Macaca fascicularis: one gene and its partner. The protein of the gene in region 1 binds, or shares a complex with, the protein of each later gene. Links are inferred from orthologs where the notes say so. Each region holds a gene or a part of one and is shown on either strand. Other genes may lie near its edges.

The links.
Region 2: the proteins of LLGL1 (region 1) and PRKCI are in contact, whole or in part, in a cryo-EM structure (PDB 8R3Y), measured with the Homo sapiens proteins. The link is inferred for Macaca fascicularis from reciprocal best matches to the Homo sapiens genes LLGL1 and PRKCI. Residues at the interface, in NP_004131.4 of Homo sapiens: Ala315, Asp319, Glu367, His391, Ser392, Ala394, Thr396, Glu453, Cys483, Glu484, His485, Phe506, Asp507, Pro508, Tyr509, Ser510, Asp511, Pro513, Gln518, Lys519, Lys569, Ala600, Val601, Thr602, Leu644, Gly648, Pro649, Leu650, Ser651, Arg652; in NP_002731.4 of Homo sapiens: Asp339, Met341, Gln345, Arg348, Leu381, Asp382, Met399, Thr412, Phe413, Cys414, Pro417, Leu425, Glu445, Gly449, Arg450, Ser451, Gly457, Ser458, Ser459, Asp460, Asn461, Pro462, Asp463, Asn465, Thr466, Glu467, Asp468, Tyr469, Leu470, Phe471.

Annotation. Positions count from the first base shown.
Region 1 is NC_088390.1:18,351,289-18,355,816, reverse strand, and holds the start of LLGL1 (lethal(2) giant larvae protein homolog 1), read right to left. Parts: upstream 2,815-4,528; 5' UTR 2,737-2,814; coding exon 2,656-2,736; intron 1-2,655. UniProt on the Homo sapiens protein: Cortical cytoskeleton protein found in a complex involved in maintaining cell polarity and epithelial integrity. Involved in the regulation of mitotic spindle orientation, proliferation, differentiation and tissue organization of neuroepithelial cells.
Region 2 is NC_088376.1:81,805,325-81,809,126, forward strand, and holds part of PRKCI (protein kinase C iota type), read left to right. Parts: intron 1-376; coding exon 377-466; intron 467-2,086; coding exon 2,087-2,202; intron 2,203-3,802.

The DNA of each region.
Region 1 (4,528 bases):
GCCAGATCCTCGTCCCTCCCCTGCTCAGGATCCTCCTGGGGTTCCCAGCTAAGGGAGGCTTGTGCCTCAGGGCCTTTGTACCTACTGCCCCTCTGCCTGGCATGCACTTCCTCCAGCACTTCCTGTCGCTCAGGAGTCATCTCCTCAGAGAAGCCTCCCTAAGCCACCCTGGCTGCAGCAGCCGCCCTGGCCACACCTCCCTCCCCCTCGCCCTGCTTTATTTGATCCACAGCACTGGCTAACATCCCAACTACCGTCTATTCTATTTTTTTGTTTTGGCTTTTCACTGTCTCCTGCATTAGCATATCAGCCACCTGAGTTAAGACATATTTGTCCTTTTTGATAACTACTGTTGTCCCCAGAACCTTGTAGACCTCACACACAGTGGGGCTCAGTATTAACAGAGAAGGCACACTCCACAGGCGACATGTGGGCTGGACTGGGATTTGAACCCAAGACTCGGAGTCCAAAGTCCCTGCTCACTCCTGACCTGTCTCCCACCCCCCAAACTCAGGAATCAGGGGCCTATTCCCTAGCGATCCCCTATGACCCACTTAGGTGACTAAGTCCCTTCCCCAAGACCACCCTACTTTCCACCACTGCTGCCCACACTTCATCCTCAGTGGAGGGCCCTTACTTCCCACCACCCCAAGGCTAGACAGAGTGGGCTGAGCTTCATTCCCACCTGTCTCCAGTCCCCACTGCACATCCCAATTTACTGGCTGAAGAAATGACATTTAGGCCAGGCATGGTAGCTCATGCCTGTAATCCTAGCACTTTGGGAAGCCAACATGGATGGATAGATAGCTTGAGCCCAGGAGTTCGAGACCAGCCTCGGCAACATGGTAAAACCGCACCTCTACAAAAAATACAAAAACTAGCCAGGCATGGTGACATGAGCCTGTAGTCCCAGCTACTCAGGAGGCTGAGGTGGGAGGATCACCTGAGCCAGGGAGGTTGAGGCTGCAGTGGGCTGTGACTGTGCCACTGCACTTCAGCCTGGGTGAGAGTGAGACCCCGTTTCAAAAAAAAGTGACATTTAGCCCTGAGCCTGTTGCTGCCTTTCCCTGAAGGGCCATTCTCCTCTCACCTAACTCTCATAGCCTCCCCAGCACAGAAAACAGGCACTATCTGGGGACCACGGAGCACCAGCTTCCCCTCTGGGCCCCCTCTCAGGTTCCTGGCAGGTTCTCAGCCACCCTGTGAAGGTCCTGGCAGCTCTCACCGGCAACCACTGCAGACCTAGGCAGGGAAACCCTGAGACATCCCAGTGCCTCTGCTACTCCAGGTCCAACCGTCCCAGAGCCTCCTCCAAGACAAGGGTCTCCTCAAGGCAGCCCAGGGCACCTGGCACAACACTGGCCCAGGACCACAGCAGCCCCTTGGAAAAATCCCCGCCCCTCAAGGCTAAAATCCAACCCCACTGACACAGGAACTCGAGAAAGATATTGGTGCAGCTCACTCTGACTCTGGGCAAGCCGTCACCTCTCTCAGAACCTCAATTTTCTCACCTGTATTTTGAAGATAACTCTAATTTCGAAGAGCACTGAGAGGCTCTGCGATCCGTGGGCTCTGGGGTAAGAATGAGGACAAAACCAACGCCCCCAGAGGAGTGAGCCAGGAGCAGGCTGAGGCCCTGCTCTAACATCAGTGCATAGGGAGGCGGGGGCTGAGGCGGCCCCTTTCCCTGGCCCCTAGTGTCCCACTTGGGGAAAGGAAGGAAAAGCCTCCACTTCACTCCACCTTGGTGCGGGGCAGCAGGACAGCTGGCCCATGTGGCAGAGGGAGCCAGGGCCCACAGTAAGGAGAAAAGTAGCCTCATTTCACAGCTAGGGAAACTGAGGCCCCACGATGTGAAGGGCACTGTAGTACACAGCCAGGCATGTCCCCTGGACTCGGGGCCCCGGGCAGGGCAGGGGAGAGCAGGGCAAGGCAGAGCCTGGAGCAGTGGGGGAAGGAAGGAGAGGCTCCTTGAAGGGATTTCCCAGCCGCACCCCCCACAGCTGCCTCGTCCCCACTAACTCTCTCGCCCTCCTGCGTGCCAAAGCACAAAACAAACCGGGGCCCACGGCTGTCCCAAGGGCCGAGCAGGGACGCAAAGGAGCCCCAAAGAAAAAGGATAAAGAGACAGAGAGTGAGCGACAGAGAAGAGGTCGAGAGACTCCACAGAGAGAGAGAGAGAGACACGCAGGGAGAGACAGGCAAAGACTCAGAGACGCAGAGGCAGAAAGAGAAATGAGAGGCAAAGATAGGAAGGGGCAGAGGCAGAGACACCCCCACCACACACACAGTCACAACTGGGGCGAGGGAGCCGGTCAGCGACGGAGAAAGTGGGGCAGAGACCCAAAGACAGGCAAAGAGTCTCAGAGACAGAGAGACCCAGACACACAGAGACTGGCAGACCCAGGGCCAGAGCGGCCCGCAGAGACTCGGGAGCAGACACGGAAAGTCGGCCGGAGACCCAGACCCACCCAGAGTCCGAGCCAGAGCTGGGCCCGAGGAGGGGGTGCGCGGCCCGGCCCAGCCCCCGCCCCGCGCCGCGCTGCATGCCAGCCCCCGCCCCCCGGGCCCGACGTGGCTCCGACCCCGGGTCCCCAGCCCGGGCCCCCGGCCCGCCCCCTCCCACCCGAGCCCGCGCCCGCGCCGCAGCCGCACCTTGTTGAAGGCGAAAAGCTCTTGCTTGAGCTTCTCGCGCTGCGGGTCGGCGCCCTGCCGCCGGAACCGAAACTTCATCATCTTGCGCCCGGCTGCCGGCGCCGCGCCCGCCGCCGCCGCCGCCGCCGCCGCCGCCCGCAGGATGCGCCGCGCGGCCCCGCCGGTCCTGAGGCGCGGGCGGGGCACCAGGCGGCCCGGGCGCGGGCGCGCGGGGCCGGGCCTGCACGGGGGTGGGCGCGGGGCGCGACGGACGCACCGTCCGACCAATGAGCATGCCCGCCGTACCGCCCGCCCCGCCCCTGTTGGCCAGACAATGGTGAACTGGGCCCCCGGGCTCGGCCGGGCTCGCGAAGGGACGCCCGCCTAGCCTGCGCCGCGGCGCGGGGCCTGCCGGGACGTGTAGTCCATGAGCCGGGGCTCCAACGCGGGCGGCTGGGGAAGCGCTTTGGAGGGGGACTGGCGCATGTTCCTGGGCTTGGAGAAGATTTTTTCCTCCTCCCAGAGAGCGAGCGACGTGCCCACTCAAGTAATGGGGCAGCCCTATTCCGAAAGCCAAGAGATCTCTGACTGGAACAACTCCCTGGCCCCTCTGCGCCTCAGTTTCCCCATCTACACCATTGGTCAAGTGATTGCCAAGTTTATAGTTTACCATTCTCACAGAACTCCATTTTGTCTGTTCCTCGCTGTGTCAGAGCACCTCCCACCGCCGTGCTTTTGCCTTGGCTTTATAGTCAGGAATTCTTTCCTCACCCCCAGCCCCTGGGGAACTCCTACACATCTTTCAGGACCCAACGCAAAAGGCTCTGTCACAGTACAGGGGATTCTTTCTTAGCCAAAGAAAGAGACGGGATACCCAGGAGGTGGCATTTGGGACTGTTCTGGGGTTGGATTGGGGCTTTACTGAGATGGGGGAAGGGCCTGCCCCCACAGAGAACAGTGTATGAACAAAGCTTAGCCCTGCCCCTACTGTCTGAGGGGCCGTCTGCCTGTCCCCACCCACCTCCCAGGCCTTTTCTCATCTGGACAATGGCCTCGAGGCTGAACCTTTCCTTCCAGGCTGAGGATAGGTCGCCTGGCTCGGCACTGGGGTTGCGGGAGGTCCTAGAAGCTTAGGTGGGGCAGGTAGGACAGGCCCCAACCCCACCAGCTGTGTCAAGGGAGGAGGAGCTGACCTGTGACCCCGAGGCAGCTGCCAAGCCTTGGGGCCTGGCTGTCCCCCTCCACCCACGCCAGGCCGGCCGTGTTCAGCCCTTCCCCGGATTTGGGGCTGGATCCAGAAGAGGGGCCAGGAGTGAGTGGGGAGGTGAGAGGAGGGAGGATGACGACAGTAAAGCCCCTAAGTGCCTACAGCGGGGCAGGCGCTGTTCAAAGCCCTTTCCTGGTTTCAGCTGACTTAGTGCTGTCAGTAGCTCTACAAGGGAGCCAACAATATTACCCATCCCAAATGAGGAAGCTGAGACCATCAGCCAAAGACTGTTAGTTGTTGGCAGAGCTGCTAGACTGAGGAGGATGAGTGGCCACTGGCCACGCCACACCCAGCACAAGCAGCAGGGACAGCTCAGAGGTCTGGGTTCTGGTCCCTGCCCTGCCTCACAAAGGAAGTGTTAAGAAGTTGCTGGTAGGCCGGGCGCGGTGGCTCACGCCTGTAATCCCAGCACTTTGGGAGGCCGAGACGGGCGGATCACGAGGTCAGGAGATCAAGACCATCCTGACTAACACGGTGAAACCCCGTCTCTACTAAAAATACAAAAATTAGCCGGGCGCGGTGGCGGGCGCCTGTAGTCCCAGCTACTGGGGAGGCTGAGGCAGGAGAATGGCGGGAACCCGGGAAGGCGGAGCTTGCAGTGAGTGGAGATCGCGCCACTGCACTCCA
Region 2 (3,802 bases), on another chromosome or scaffold:
AAACAAACTTCTGATGAAGTTTGGAGGTTTGCATGTTTTGACTGTCACACTAGGTCATACCAAAGAAATGGCTGGGTGCTGCTCAAATGATTCTGCTGTTCTCTTTTTCCTCCTATTTTTCTTTAGCAAGGAATTGGTGATGATTCTCTGTTTTAATTACATGATAGGTGGAGAAAGTGCCACAAAGAAATCTTACCTATCACAAGCTTCAGATAATTCAATTTGTTCTGGAGTTGTACTTTCTAGAAATAAAAGGTAGACCATTCCAACTTCAGAAATAAGACTATCATGTGAGAGCACAAAATACAGATCACAAAGATGATTTATTTTAAAGCACGACATTCACCCAATTCTTGAAACATTTCTTTCACCATAGGACCCTAAGGAACGATTGGGTTGTCATCCTCAAACAGGATTTGCTGATATTCAGGGACACCCGTTCTTCCGAAATGTTGATTGGGATATGGTATGTAAATTTTGATTACTTTCTCTATTAGGTTTCATTATTATCTTCAGCCAAATCTTTTTTTTTTTTTTTTTTTAGGACAGAGTCTTGCTCTGTCACCCAGGCTGGCATGCAGTGGCACGATCTCGGCTCACTGCAACCTCTATCTCCCGGGTTCAAGCAGTTCTCCTGTCTCCGCCTCCCAAGTAGCTGGAATTACAGGCACGCACCACCACACCCGGCTAATTTTTGTATTTTTAGTAGAGATGGGGGGGTTTCACGATGTCGGCCAGGCTGGTCTCGAACTCCTGACATCAGGTGATCCACCCACCTTGGCCTCCCAAAGTGCTGGGATTACAGGTGTGAGCCACCGCACCTGGCCTATCTTGGGCCAAATTTTATTGTCTTAGCTAACATATCACAGCTTTAAAAACTTAAAACCACTTTCTAAACTGCTTTTTAGAAAACTTTTTAAACAAAAAAAATCCTTTTTTTAAAAATGTATTGTTTTTTCTGAGATGGAGTCACATTCTATTGCCCAGGTTGGAGCGCGATGGTGTGATCTCTGCTCACTGCAACCTCCGCCTCCTGGGTTCACGCAATTCTGCCTCAGCCTCCTAAGTAGCTGGGATTACAGGCACATGCCACCATGCCCAGCTAATTTTTATATTTTTAGTGGAGACAACGTTTCATCATGTTGGCCAGGCTGGTCTTGAACTCCAGACCTCAAGTGATCCACCTGCCTCAGCCTCCCAAAGTGTTGGGATTCCAGGGGTGAGCCACCGTGCCCAGCCAAAAAATTGAATATTAATGTAATAAAGCAGGTTATAATGTTATTGAAGCCCATATCAATGTTTATACTTGTTTTTGTTTGTTTGTTTGTTTGTTTGTTTTTTTAAGAGAAACAGTCTCACTCCATCGCCCAGGCTGTACTGTAGCTCACGACAGCCTTGATTGAACTCCTAGACTCAAGAGATCCTCCTGTGTTAACCTCTCAAGTAGCTGGGACTATAGGCATAAGCCATGGTACCCAGCTAATTTTCAATTTTTTTTTTTGGTTTGTTTTTTTTGAGGTGGAATCTTGCTCTGTCTCCCAGGCTGGAGTGTTGTGGCACAATCTCGGCTCACTGCAACCTTCGCCACCTAGGTTCAAGCAATTCTCCTGTCTCAGCCTCCAGAGTAGCTGGGATTATAGGTGCACGCCACCACGCCTGGCTAATTTCTGTATTTTTAGTAGAGACAGGGTTTTGCTATGTTGGCCAGACTGGTCTTGAATCCCTGACCTCAGGTGATTTACGCACCTTGGCCTCCCAAAGTGATGGGATTACAGGCATGAACTGCTGTGCCCAGCCAATTTTTAATTTTTTAATAGAGATGGGGTCTTGCTATATTGTCCGGGCTGGTCTTGAACTCCTGGCCTCAAGTGGTCCTCCCATCTCAACCTACCAAGCAGTTGGGATTATAGGCATGAGCCACCATGCCCAGCTCATATTTGTAAATTATGTTCATCATTGCTAATATCATTGTACCGTGCTTCAGGACTCACTTTAATAAGGGAAACAATGAGTGCAGAGGAGAACTGTAGAGGTGCAATTTTTCTAATAATACAGACTTGAGCTGTCATCCAATATGTCTTTTCAGATGGAGCAAAAACAGGTGGTACCTCCCTTTAAACCAAATATTTCTGGGGAATTTGGTTTGGACAACTTTGATTCTCAGTTTACCAATGAACCTGTCCAGCTCACTCCAGATGACGAGTAAGTAATTCTGTACACTGAAATTTTTTTTTAAGTTTTTTGGAAATCCCATTTTTAGTGACTATGCAATGTTTCATGATCAGATTATACTATTAATTTTTTTATTTTTTATTTTATTTCATTTTATTTTATTTTTGAGACAGAGTCTCGCTCTGTCTCCCAGGCTGGAGTGCAGTGGTGCAATCTTGGCTCACTGCAACCTCTGCCTCCCAGGTTCAAGTGATTCTCCTGCCTCAGCCACCCTGAGTAGCTGGGACTACAGGCTCATGCCACGACACCCAGCTAATTTTTATATTTTTAGTAAGGACGGCGTTTGCCATGTTGGCCAGGCTGATCCTGAACTCCTGACCTCAGGTGATCCACCCACCTTGGCCTCTTAAAGTGCTGGGATTACAGGCGTGAGCCACTGCGCCCGGCCTATACTATAATTTATATAACCATTCAGTTACTGGTATTTGAATCCACTGTACTATTATAAGTTTTAATAGTAACTGTCATTTTCTCCTTTGCTTTATCGTGCATTATCTCATTTTCACAACAACTTTGTAAACTAGTTAAATTGTCATCTTCATTTTACAGATGAGGAAACTGAGGCTCAGAGAGGTTAAGCAAAGTTACACAGCTATCAGGTGGTAGAGTCAGGATTCAAACCCAAATCTCTCTGTCCTGCTGCACTGTTTCCCATTTGACAAGGACTGTCTTTGTCTGTCTAAGTTCCTGAGTATTGCCTTAAGATAGATTCTTAGAAAGGGAATTAGGTCAGAGGGTATTAACATTTTAAAGCTCTTGATATGTATTGCCAAATTGCTTTTTTTAAGGAATTACATTGAGTTATTAAATCCAGCCAGCAGTGAGCTGATATATTTTTTTGTACTTATACTGCATCTTTTAAAAATATACCTTAAAATAATTGGGGGATATTTTGATTATTTACCTGTTGTTACAGATTCATTCTCTCTAATCTCAAGGAGGCCCTTATTGTTTGGCAGTCATTTTACTTCTATCTTATTTCTTACCACATTTCTCCCAGCACCTGCTCCAAACAGTCTCTTCATTTCAGAAGCCTTCAGTTCTACTCCTTTTTCCATCACTGTTAAAGGATTAACCTTGTCTTATTTTGATGCAAGGACTGATAACCTCTCTGGCGTGACCTTGCCTCCTTTCCAGCTGTCACCAGACCACCTTGCATCTCAGAATTGCTTTCTAATTCTTTTCAACATTTTCTTATTCCCTACTCTTGGAAGGCTCTCCTTTACAAGGAGCGTCCCTCCTATTTTCCTAGACCTGTTTCTGTAGTTTTCTCCAATATTTCATTTTGTCAGTTATCTTGTTATTGGACCTTCTTAGATTTATTTTTTTCTAGCTTGCTTCCCTCTGTGTAAGCATGCTCAGATTCTCTGATTTTTTCCCCCTAACTCATAGTCCCTCTTTGAACAACCACATTTTTCCTCATTTTCATTTCGTCTTGAAGCCTCAAAAAAAAAAAAAAACAAAAAAAAAAAAGTCAATAGATGTTCATGGTCAAAGAAAAATAAATATGCAGCACCTCTAATCTAACTTCTTCAGACTAGTCAACGTTGATTGTCTTGAATTTTTTTTT